Linked DNA regions of Saccharomyces cerevisiae S288C. Changing the gene in region 1 together with any one later gene gives a genetic interaction. Each region holds a gene or a part of one and is shown in the gene's direction. Other genes may lie near its edges.

The links.
Region 2: of OMA1 (region 1) and AFG1, extra expression of one rescues a mutant of the other (dosage rescue), as found in Saccharomyces cerevisiae (one study listed by BioGRID).
Region 3: of OMA1 (region 1) and COA2, a mutation in one rescues a mutant of the other (synthetic rescue), as found in Saccharomyces cerevisiae (2 studies listed by BioGRID).

The regions. Positions count from the first base shown.
Region 1 is NC_001143.9:602,662-606,260, reverse strand, and holds OMA1 (metalloendopeptidase), read left to right. Parts: upstream 1-2,028; coding exon 2,029-3,066; downstream 3,067-3,599. Other genes in the region: TGL4 (triacylglycerol lipase), read left to right, coding at 1-628; TVP38 (Tvp38p), read left to right, coding at 843-1,856; DEAH-box RNA helicase PRP16, read right to left, coding at 3,189-3,599. UniProt on the Saccharomyces cerevisiae protein: Protease that is part of the quality control system in the inner membrane of mitochondria. Activated in response to various mitochondrial stress, leading to the proteolytic cleavage of target proteins, such as OXA1 and COX1.
Region 2 is NC_001137.3:54,577-58,612, forward strand, and holds AFG1 (Afg1p), read left to right. Parts: upstream 1-1,994; coding exon 1,995-3,524; downstream 3,525-4,036. Other genes in the region: MAK10 (Mak10p), read right to left, coding at 1-1,526; VMA8 (H(+)-transporting V1 sector ATPase subunit D), read left to right, coding at 3,802-4,036.
Region 3 is NC_001148.4:187,795-190,161, reverse strand, and holds COA2 (Coa2p), read left to right. Parts: upstream 1-1,648; coding exon 1,649-1,855; downstream 1,856-2,367. Other genes in the region: GUP2 (putative O-acyltransferase), read right to left, coding at 1-1,008. UniProt on the Saccharomyces cerevisiae protein: Required for efficient assembly of cytochrome c oxidase in the mitochondrial inner membrane. Seems to be involved in the SHY1-mediated step of cytochrome c oxidase maturation.

The DNA.
Region 1 (3,599 bases):
GTTACGTGAGAATGCAAGCACATATGGGCGGTCACCTTCCGGGTTTAGACCGCGGTATTCCATTACGTCCGCTTCTCTCAATCCGCGTCACCAAAGAAGGAAATCAGATACTATTTCAACTTCAAGGCGACCAGCCAAATCCTTTTCATTTTCAGTTGCTTCTCCCACATCAAGGATGTTGAGGCAATCCAGCAAAATCAATGGACACCCACCGCCAATTCTGCAGAAAAAAACAAGTATGGGCCGGCTAATGTTTCCTATGGATGCCAAGACCTATGACCCGGAAAGCCATGAACTTATCCCACATTCTGCCAGCATTGAAACACCTGCCATGGTAGACAAGAAATTGCATTTTGGCCGAAAGAGTAGATACTTGAGGCATATGAACAAAAAATGGGTCAGCAGTAGCAACATATTATACACAGATTCGGATAAAGAAGACCATCCTACATTGAGACTGATAAGTAACTTCGATTCAGACGCAATGATTCATAGTGATTTAGCGGGCAATTTCAGGCGTCATAGCATTGATGGAAGACCCCCTTCTCAAGCTACAAAGAGCTCACCGTTTCGATCGAGGCCTTCTTCTTCAACGCAGCACAAAAGCACCACCAGTTTTACTCAATAAGAAAACACGGGCTTGCTTATATATCCTCTAGATATTCTTTTTCATCTATGTATTTATTCGAATGGCCTTTCTCATTCATATCATTTTCAAAGCGGAAATCGAAATCATTGTTTTCTCTCGAGCTGCACTAAGAAAAAAAGCCACTTTACTAAAACAATACCTTCAACATATTTGAAAATATTATTATGGTGGAAGAAAGATATTGGTTACACAAATGAGTCAGTCTTACGAAGCAGGAAATGCCAATATGGGCCAAGGGGAGGATGATGAATTTGATGGCTATTTCGAAGACTTTGACAACGATATCATGCCAAATAGTAATAATGGACAAAGGGTTGGTACTAATGCTGGATTGTCATTCAATGACGAAGTAAATGTTAATGATGATGATTTTTTAGACATTTATAATATGTCCCCTAGAGAGAGATTGATGCATAATATCAGGAAGAATGTTCAAAAATTACAGTTTTATTTTTATTCACTACGCTTATGGCAACAGATTATCATTGTCCTCCTCGGCATAATGCTAATGATAATGGGTATATTGTTGCTCGTCTTCCATAATGCGATTTTACATAAAGTTGTTGTTACTTCGAACGATTTGAGAGAAAAGATGTCAACACATTTTATATTAATGGTTCTGATATTCTTTGTCGCATTTCCTCCTATGATTGGCTACTCCTTATTATCCACCACTACTGGGTTGATCTATGGTGTCAGTTTTGAGGGATGGGTTACGCTAGCTTTGGGATCTGTAACAGGTTCCATTGCCTCTTTCGTTGTGTTCAAGACGATCTTGCATTCAAGAGCAGAAAAGCTTGTGCATTTGAATAGAAGATTTGAAGCATTGGCTTCAATTTTACAAGAAAACAATAGCTATTGGATTCTAGCTCTACTGAGATTATGTCCCTTCCCATATTCTTTGACTAATGGTGCCATAGCTGGTGTTTACGGTATCTCGGTACGCAACTTTTCCATTGCCAACATAATAACCACACCAAAGCTGTTCATCTATCTATTTATAGGTTCTCGTGTAAAGAGTCTCGCAGAATCTGAATCTACAGGATCTAGGGTATTTGACTTGGTAAGCATTATTATCACATTATTAATCCTAAGTCTTACAGCATGGCTCTTATACTTCAAGACTAAGAAGAGATATTTAGAACTACAAAACCGCGACCGTCAAGTGTCCACTGATCAACTACCTGAATTGTCTTTTGAGGTCTAATCCTCCGTATACGTTTATATATGTTTAGATAAGTTGGTTTTATATGGGTAACCCAAATTACTATTTCTACTTCTTTCTACGTCCGATATAAAGAACTTAAAAGACAAAAAGCAGTTTTTCGAAGCGACATCAACCAATCTAAGTTAAGGTATGGAAAGATAAAATACAAGAAATGTTACGCAACATCATCAGGTTCAAAGGATTTGGAAAAGGGACCAGTGGAGGATTTTTAAAACCTGTATCATTTCGTGTTCAGTTAACGCGATGTTACCGCTATGACAATGGTCCTTCATATCGTCGATTTAATAATGGAGAGTATTCCCAAAAATCATCGTTTAAAAGCATTCTTCTCGATAAGTCATCAAGAAAATACTTAGCTTTATTATTTGGTGGATGCTCTCTCTTTTATTATACACATTTGGATAAAGCACCGGTAAGCGATAGGTCCAGGTTCATCTGGGTATCGCGTCCATTAGAGTTAACTATCGGAAATTACACATACAAATCAATTTGGAGACAAACGCAGCAGGAAATATTACCTCCACAGCATCCGCTGTCCATCAAAATTGAGAATATTTTCATGAAAATTGTCGAAGCTGCTTATAAGGACCCTAGTGTAGACAACTCACTACTGGACGGAATCAAGTGGGAAATTCATGTGGTCAATGATCCAACTGCTTCACCAAATGCATTCGTTTTACCAGGGGGTAAGGTCTTTATATTCAGCTCTATTTTACCTATTTGTGCTAATGATGATGGGATTGCCACTGTTTTAGCACACGAATTTGCTCATCAGCTAGCAAGACACACAGCCGAAAATTTGTCGAAGGCTCCTATATATTCTCTTTTGGGTTTGGTGTTATATACTGTTACTGGAGCTCATGCTATCAACAATATACTATTGGATGGGTTTTTGCGAATGCCAGCATCAAGACAGATGGAAACCGAAGCTGATTACATTGGCCTGATGATAATGTCAAGGGCATGTTTTCAACCACAGGAGTCAATAAAAGTGTGGGAAAGAATGGCAAATTTTGAAAAGCAAATGAATAGAGGGGGTGTTGTGAATATGGAGTTTCTAAGTACACATCCAGCAAGCACTCGTAGAATAGAGAATATGTCGAAATGGTTGCCAAAAGCTAATGAAATTTATGAACAATCTGATTGTAGCAGTATGGGTAACTATTATAAAAGTTTTTTCTCAATGTAAGCACTCCACGAGTTATGCTCTTTTCTTTTGTACCCAATAAATAACCCTTTGTTTTATGCATGCATATAACTATATAATAACATATATGAATATTTTGCCTATTAGCACGCTCTTCCCATAAACTAAAAAAAAGGCTTCCTTCTTTTGAAAGGTTTCATTGAATTTTCTTTGCCGTTCAGTATATTTTGCTTTTTCGTTTTTTGCTTTTTGTCTTCTTTGTTTGAATTGTCGGTCATTTTGAGCTCCTGTATCACACTGTCTCTCATATCCTTACATCTCCTAATATTGATATCAATATCATCTTCAACCTTGTCCAGAGTATGTTCATAGTGTTCACCAAAGAGGCCTGTAGTTGTGGCCTCCTGATCATTTTTAATACGCTTGATGTCGTAGAGTAACCCACCATATTCCATTAACCAGAATGGATCTACAGAAGTAACACAACAAATGTATTCTTTGCTAGTCATTAATAATTCATGATATACCACGTAAGGGGGTAAATCCCCCAATCCGTGTAATGCACTTGTAGGGTG
Region 2 (4,036 bases), on another chromosome or scaffold:
TCACCAGCTTTCAATTTTTTAAGTTTTTTGTTCATGGAATGAATGGCATTAATATTTGATTCAATATCATTTTGACTATCTTTCAAAAAGGTTTCTAAGTGGTGACTTAAATAATAAACATACCAAAACATAGAGTATGCTTCAAAGGGTTTGTAAATATCCAAATCAAACCCCTTTAAAGAGAATTCGATCATACTTGATAGTTTCATAAAATATGTCCACGAACAGTAAACTTGTGAATTGACACTTTCAAACTGGGCTTGAAGAGAATCCCATAGAATAAGTTGCCTGTTAAAACCTTGTCTATATCTACATGTGTTTTGGGAGCAGTTTTGGTACCATTCTAAAAGCATATTAGAGCTTTCTTGGATAAGTTCATTACCAATAGAGGATTCAAATTCAGATGGAGTTTGTGCTGAAAACTCCTTGACATGTAGCAAATAAAATTGGGTATATGAAAATTTACCCAAAACTGTTCTGTCGTCTCTAATGAAAAATAAGGGGAATAAGATCCTTGCAATGACATGCCTTTGTTCCAACTTGTTGAAGAATTTGGCAAACTGGTAGGTCTCCAACGCAGACTCGGCTTTATCTACAAGGAGTATTGTTTTAACATCATTTGCCAGTGTAATAAAGCCGCTGTAATCCGTCGGTAACTTCGTAATCTTCCTGGGAGGGAATTGATTAGACCTGTGCTTTTGTATATATGTTGAGAACGCACCCTTTGGTGGAGACAGCTGTAATTGTGGAAATATGCCATTAACCGAGTTAGCGTTTTCAATTAGCTCATCCAGGTGGCTTGTCTTTGTGGAATAGTCTGTCAGATGGTCTTCTAAGTGGACTAAGCAAATGATAATTTTTAGTATATGCTTCAGCATAGTTAAATGTAAGCTATCATCAGAATATGCCTCTAATATCTGAAGGCTCTCGGTGAGAGAATTGATAACAACATCTTGCCCCGGCAAATTATCGAATGTATTAAACCCCATGTTATTAAAATTTAAATCCTCCTCTTCAAAAACAATACCAGCACTCAAGAGTTTCTGCACAAATTTTGTTAAATAACAAACGCCAAGTATGCAACTTCCTAGTACTTTATCATACAAAATATTCCCTGTACACCAGGACGAACCGGCAGTTGTTCCCTTAACTAATGACGATAATAAGCTTTCTGTATACCTGCAGCTTAATACAGTAGTGGGTAAAGTCTGGTAGTCATTCAGCCAGGAGATAACACATCTAAGTAATCTATCCGCTATGGCTGCTACACTTGCCAACGGTGGATCGTAGGCCACGTTCACATCAAATTCTATTTCTTCTGCTGTCAATTCTATCAGACTGGAGTCTAATTTGGAGTTGTTGACCTCTAAAGAATGTGTACCCTCGAACAAATCAAACCTGGGATCTTTCACGATAGCCTCTGGTTTTAGTTTTGAACACAATTCATCAAACAGACTTGTGACGTCAACCAATTGGTCAAAATCATCAGTTATGCTCAAGGAACCTAATATACTGTCTACTTCCATTCTCGGAAACGTACCAGCTATTATCAAAGTTGCTCTACACTAGCACAGTTGTTTTCAATCTCAGCGCCACTCTTCTTGCTATTGAAGAGCTGCTATTTTACTTGTATCTCTTCGTGAAATTTCACTCCATCTCATAATTATTACCCGAAAACATAACAATGTGAAATAATCGTATTATGTAAAGGTTAGATAATATAACAACTACTAGATAATACAGTACTCTTATTCATTTATTTAGGCACCTGATTCCACTATTACCTATTCAATAGGTGTGCCGAGTTCCTTTGTCTTACGTAATTTTACACATCTTTTATGGGTCATATTTCGATATGTAAGGTAATAACGGGAATCTCCGGATTTACTTTAAAGTGGGAGGGAGAAGTTCCTTTCTTCTGATTTGCGGGTGCTCCGAAAGAACAAAGAATAAATAGGTAAAGCAGTGAAACATAGTATTTGCTGGTTAAAATCATGATCGCTTTGAAGCCCAATGCTGTTCGAACCTTCCGACAAGTGCAGCATTGCAGCTTTCGCATTTGTCGGTATCAATCTACGAAGTCAAATAAGTGTCTGACGCCCTTGCAAGAGTACGACAGACTGGTGAAGTTGGGGAAGCTACGGGATGATACATATCAGCGTGGTATCATCTCTTCCTTAGGGGATTTGTATGATTCACTGGTTAAATATGTACCTCCGGTTGTCAAGACACCCAATGCTGTCGACCAAGTTGGCGGTTGGTTGAATGGTCTTAAATCCGTATTTAGCCGTGGCAAACCTAAGAACATTGGGGCGTATGTGGATGTATCCAAAATTGGTAACTCGATACCTCGAGGAGTTTACCTATATGGAGATGTTGGCTGCGGAAAGACAATGTTGATGGACCTTTTTTATACTACAATTCCCAATCATTTAACAAAAAAGAGAATACATTTTCACCAGTTTATGCAATATGTTCACAAAAGGTCGCATGAAATTGTTAGAGAGCAAAATTTGAAAGAACTAGGTGATGCAAAAGGAAAAGAGATCGATACGGTTCCATTTTTGGCCGCAGAGATTGCAAATAATTCGCATGTTCTTTGTTTTGACGAGTTTCAAGTCACTGACGTGGCAGATGCAATGATATTGAGAAGGCTGATGACTGCCTTACTATCCGATGATTATGGTGTCGTACTTTTCGCAACCTCGAATAGACATCCAGATGAGTTGTATATCAACGGTGTTCAAAGACAATCATTTATTCCTTGTATTGAACTGATAAAGCATAGAACTAAGGTTATCTTCTTGAATTCGCCAACAGATTACCGTAAGATTCCAAGACCTGTGTCCTCAGTTTACTATTTCCCATCCGATACGAGCATAAAATACGCATCAAAGGAATGTAAAACCCGTCGAGAAACTCATATTAAGGAATGGTATAACTATTTCGCACAGGCTTCCCACACCGATGATTCCACTGATTCACACACGGTGCATAAGACATTTTATGATTATCCATTAACTATTTGGGGGAGAGAGTTCAAAGTCCCTAAGTGTACCCCACCTCGAGTCGCGCAGTTTACTTTCAAGCAGTTGTGTGGTGAGCCTTTGGCCGCAGGAGATTACTTGACGTTGGCAAAAAATTTTGAAGCCTTTATAGTGACCGATATTCCATATTTGTCCATTTACGTTCGTGATGAAGTGAGAAGATTTATTACATTTTTAGATGCTGTATATGACAGTGGCGGGAAACTGGCCACTACGGGTGCAGCGGATTTTTCTTCCTTGTTTGTGGAACCTGAACAGATACTTAATGATTTTGAGTTACGCCCAACAACCAAAGAACCTGATAGCGTCGATACTGGTATGGTAGATGAGATGGTTGAGAAACACGGTTTTTCGAAAGAGATTGCCAAGAAATCGCAGATGTTTGCTCTTGATGAAGAAAGATTTGCCTTTGCCCGTGCCTTAAGCAGGCTGTCACAGATGAGCTCCACCGATTGGGTTACTAAGCCTACATACTAAACCCTATGTAACAAAAGTGTTTATTTATATTCTTGTATTTATTCTAAACACGAACTTTGATCGTCTAACAATTGCCGCAGTTACACCTTTAACAATAGTGCTTTTTATTACTGATATTACTCACCTGATTTTTTGTTACCCGAATGCAAATTTGATTAGGAACGGGGATTGTTAAAAGACAATGGCAGTACAGATAAAGGTTAGATGAAGCAGCAGTAGAATAAATCAGCATCTGTAGTACATAGGTTCCTAACAGCATTGTGAAAAAGGTTCAAAAATGTCTGGTAATAGAGAGCAAGTCTTTCCTACGCGTATGACGCTGGGTTTGATGAAGACCAAGTTAAAAGGTGCCAACCAAGGTTATTCTTTACTAAAGCGTAAGTCTGAAGCCCTAACAAAGAGATTCAGAGATATTACCAAAAGAATTGATGATGCTAAGCAAAAGATGGGGAGAGTTATGCAAACTGCTGCCTTTTCCTTGGCCGAAGTTTCCTATGCAACAGGTGAAAACA
Region 3 (2,367 bases), on another chromosome or scaffold:
TGGCGCGTAAGTAATATAAGCGATAAAATTGATAAAGTTGTAATCCTGGATGTGATGTTCTGCTACCAGTCGTTCCTTTTCCTCCAGAACATTCTTACCTGACTCATAAATGGTTTGTAGAGTAGAACCAGATAAACTTTTTCTGAATTCAGGTCGTCTATCATCGTAATCTATCGAAGGTTGGCGGCTCAATTGTTCATGCCATCTTTCCAAAAAATCCATGGAGTAACTTAACAAACGCAATAATGTAAAATTGAAAAAAAAATCCCATCGAGGAACGATACCCTTATACCATTGATCCATGGGACTTAGGATGATAGCAATATTATTAAAGGGGAGATTTTTCATTTTTTGATTGATGAATAGTGTAAAGATACCATAGGACCAAATCGCAAAAGCGGCTATCAAACGCTTTCTCTTTAGCGAATGTGCCAAAGTGAAGAAAATAAAAGCATGCGTAAAGAGCTTAACAGAATTGATCCCGTACATGAAACAGACAAAAACTAATCCACACGCAAAATCGAATTTTGTTTTCGGAATTTTACTAAATTTAACAAAAACCTTTTTTAATATAATTTGTAGTAATATTAAGATGGCCAACAAAAAAAAATTGGATCTAAAAAACCTATACTGAGGATCGCTGTTATCCACTTTGCGGCCCAGAATCCAACCATGGGCTAGCAGTCCGCTGAATTTATAGTAGTTTGGATTAGACTCGGAGCTCGTAGCCAATGCCGCCTTTATCATGAAAGGAACTACTACGGTGAACGCCAAATAATATAGTCTAAATTCCCATGTATTCCATAGCGGAGGAGATGGGCTATTAGAGCTGAGCACAGGGTTACGGGTAACAGTAACGGCACTAGAAGATGAACCATTCTCTTCTTTAGATGAATTGATAAATATCCTTTGTCGCCTTTTGAATTCAATGTCTGGCTTTATTCGTGAATCAAGTGCCTGCACGGAAAAGAAATGTACGATGCAACTCCAGATTCTTAACATCGACATCTGACTTGTAGCGATGACGTCAATTATTTTTGAGCCCTATAATAAGGTAGTTGAGAAGACAAATTTGAAGCACCCAAAAACCCTCAAAACAGTACCTACCTCAAAGCTAGCTTCTCTTTCTTCTTCTATTTGACTTCATTTTTTCCATATTCACCATTGGTACCTTCCATAAACAACTATAACGCAGTACAAATGAAAAAAGAAGAAAAAAAAAAGAAAAAAAAAGAGACCTAAACGCGCCAAGATTACAGGTAAACGAGTAGAACTTTGATCTATGTGCCTGAAAACCCCTCGGGCACAGGGTTCATAACGAAAAAAAAAAAATCGTAAGTAATGGTAACCATAGTAACCGATGCATGGGTTTTAAAAGTCACGTGCTTAAGTCCATTAAGACCGGAAACCTCTACACCAGTTCTCCTTCTGCAAGGGTTTTCTTTTTTTATTTTTTTTGATGGGATGGCTCTCTTTCCCCGTGTTTGTACTTTTGATATATATAGGATATTCATCAAAACAGCGTTTCGAACTCAGCGCTTGCACGATAACATAAGCACCTCGAGACACATTAGGAAAATTTAACATCCTATTTATTTATTGAATTTACAGGCACGGAAGGCCAATTAGTTTAATTCAGACACATATCATGAGAGCAGTCACTAGAAACAAAATAGTCAATAACCTATACTTTTCTACATTTCTCATTGCATTCGCATCAGTGGCCATCGGTTCTGTGCTGCCATGTCCAGCACATTCAGTGGATTCTGATTCACCAGCTGTACAGCAACACAAGCTTCAGCTTGCTCATGAGCAGGAGTTAAAGAGGAAGGATGCTTTAAGTAAAAAGATTTAAACAGGTACGGGCTATCTGGAACTTTTGATAAGTTGTATTCTATCTCTTTTATTTCCTCTTTTTATTTATTTTCGAGTGCCGTAATCTTCGCTACTTCAAGTTTCATAATCAATCGACTTTCTGTATGGGTAAGCATCTGGTGTGATGCAGTTTCATTATGACACCACAAATACAAAAGAGACTATTTAAATATGTATATAGATCACATTCCAAAAAAGAAAACCATTAATAATATCACTCTTTAATATTCCAAATTGAAACGAAAAAGCGCTATTCTTATTCGCTTCCTAACTACCGCCCTAGTTCGTGCTTGCATTTTTTTGTAGAACGATAAATTATGGTATCCCACGTGATTGAGTGTAACCCTGAATTGTTGAAGAGAAAATGAAGCGGAAGAAGCAAAGGACAAAAAACAATTCATTTGATTTTGCCACTTCTAAATGAAGGTCTAATAAAAGCTATCTTGAGCATCTTTATTAGATTCTGCACAGCAACAAGCGATTTTCTTTGGT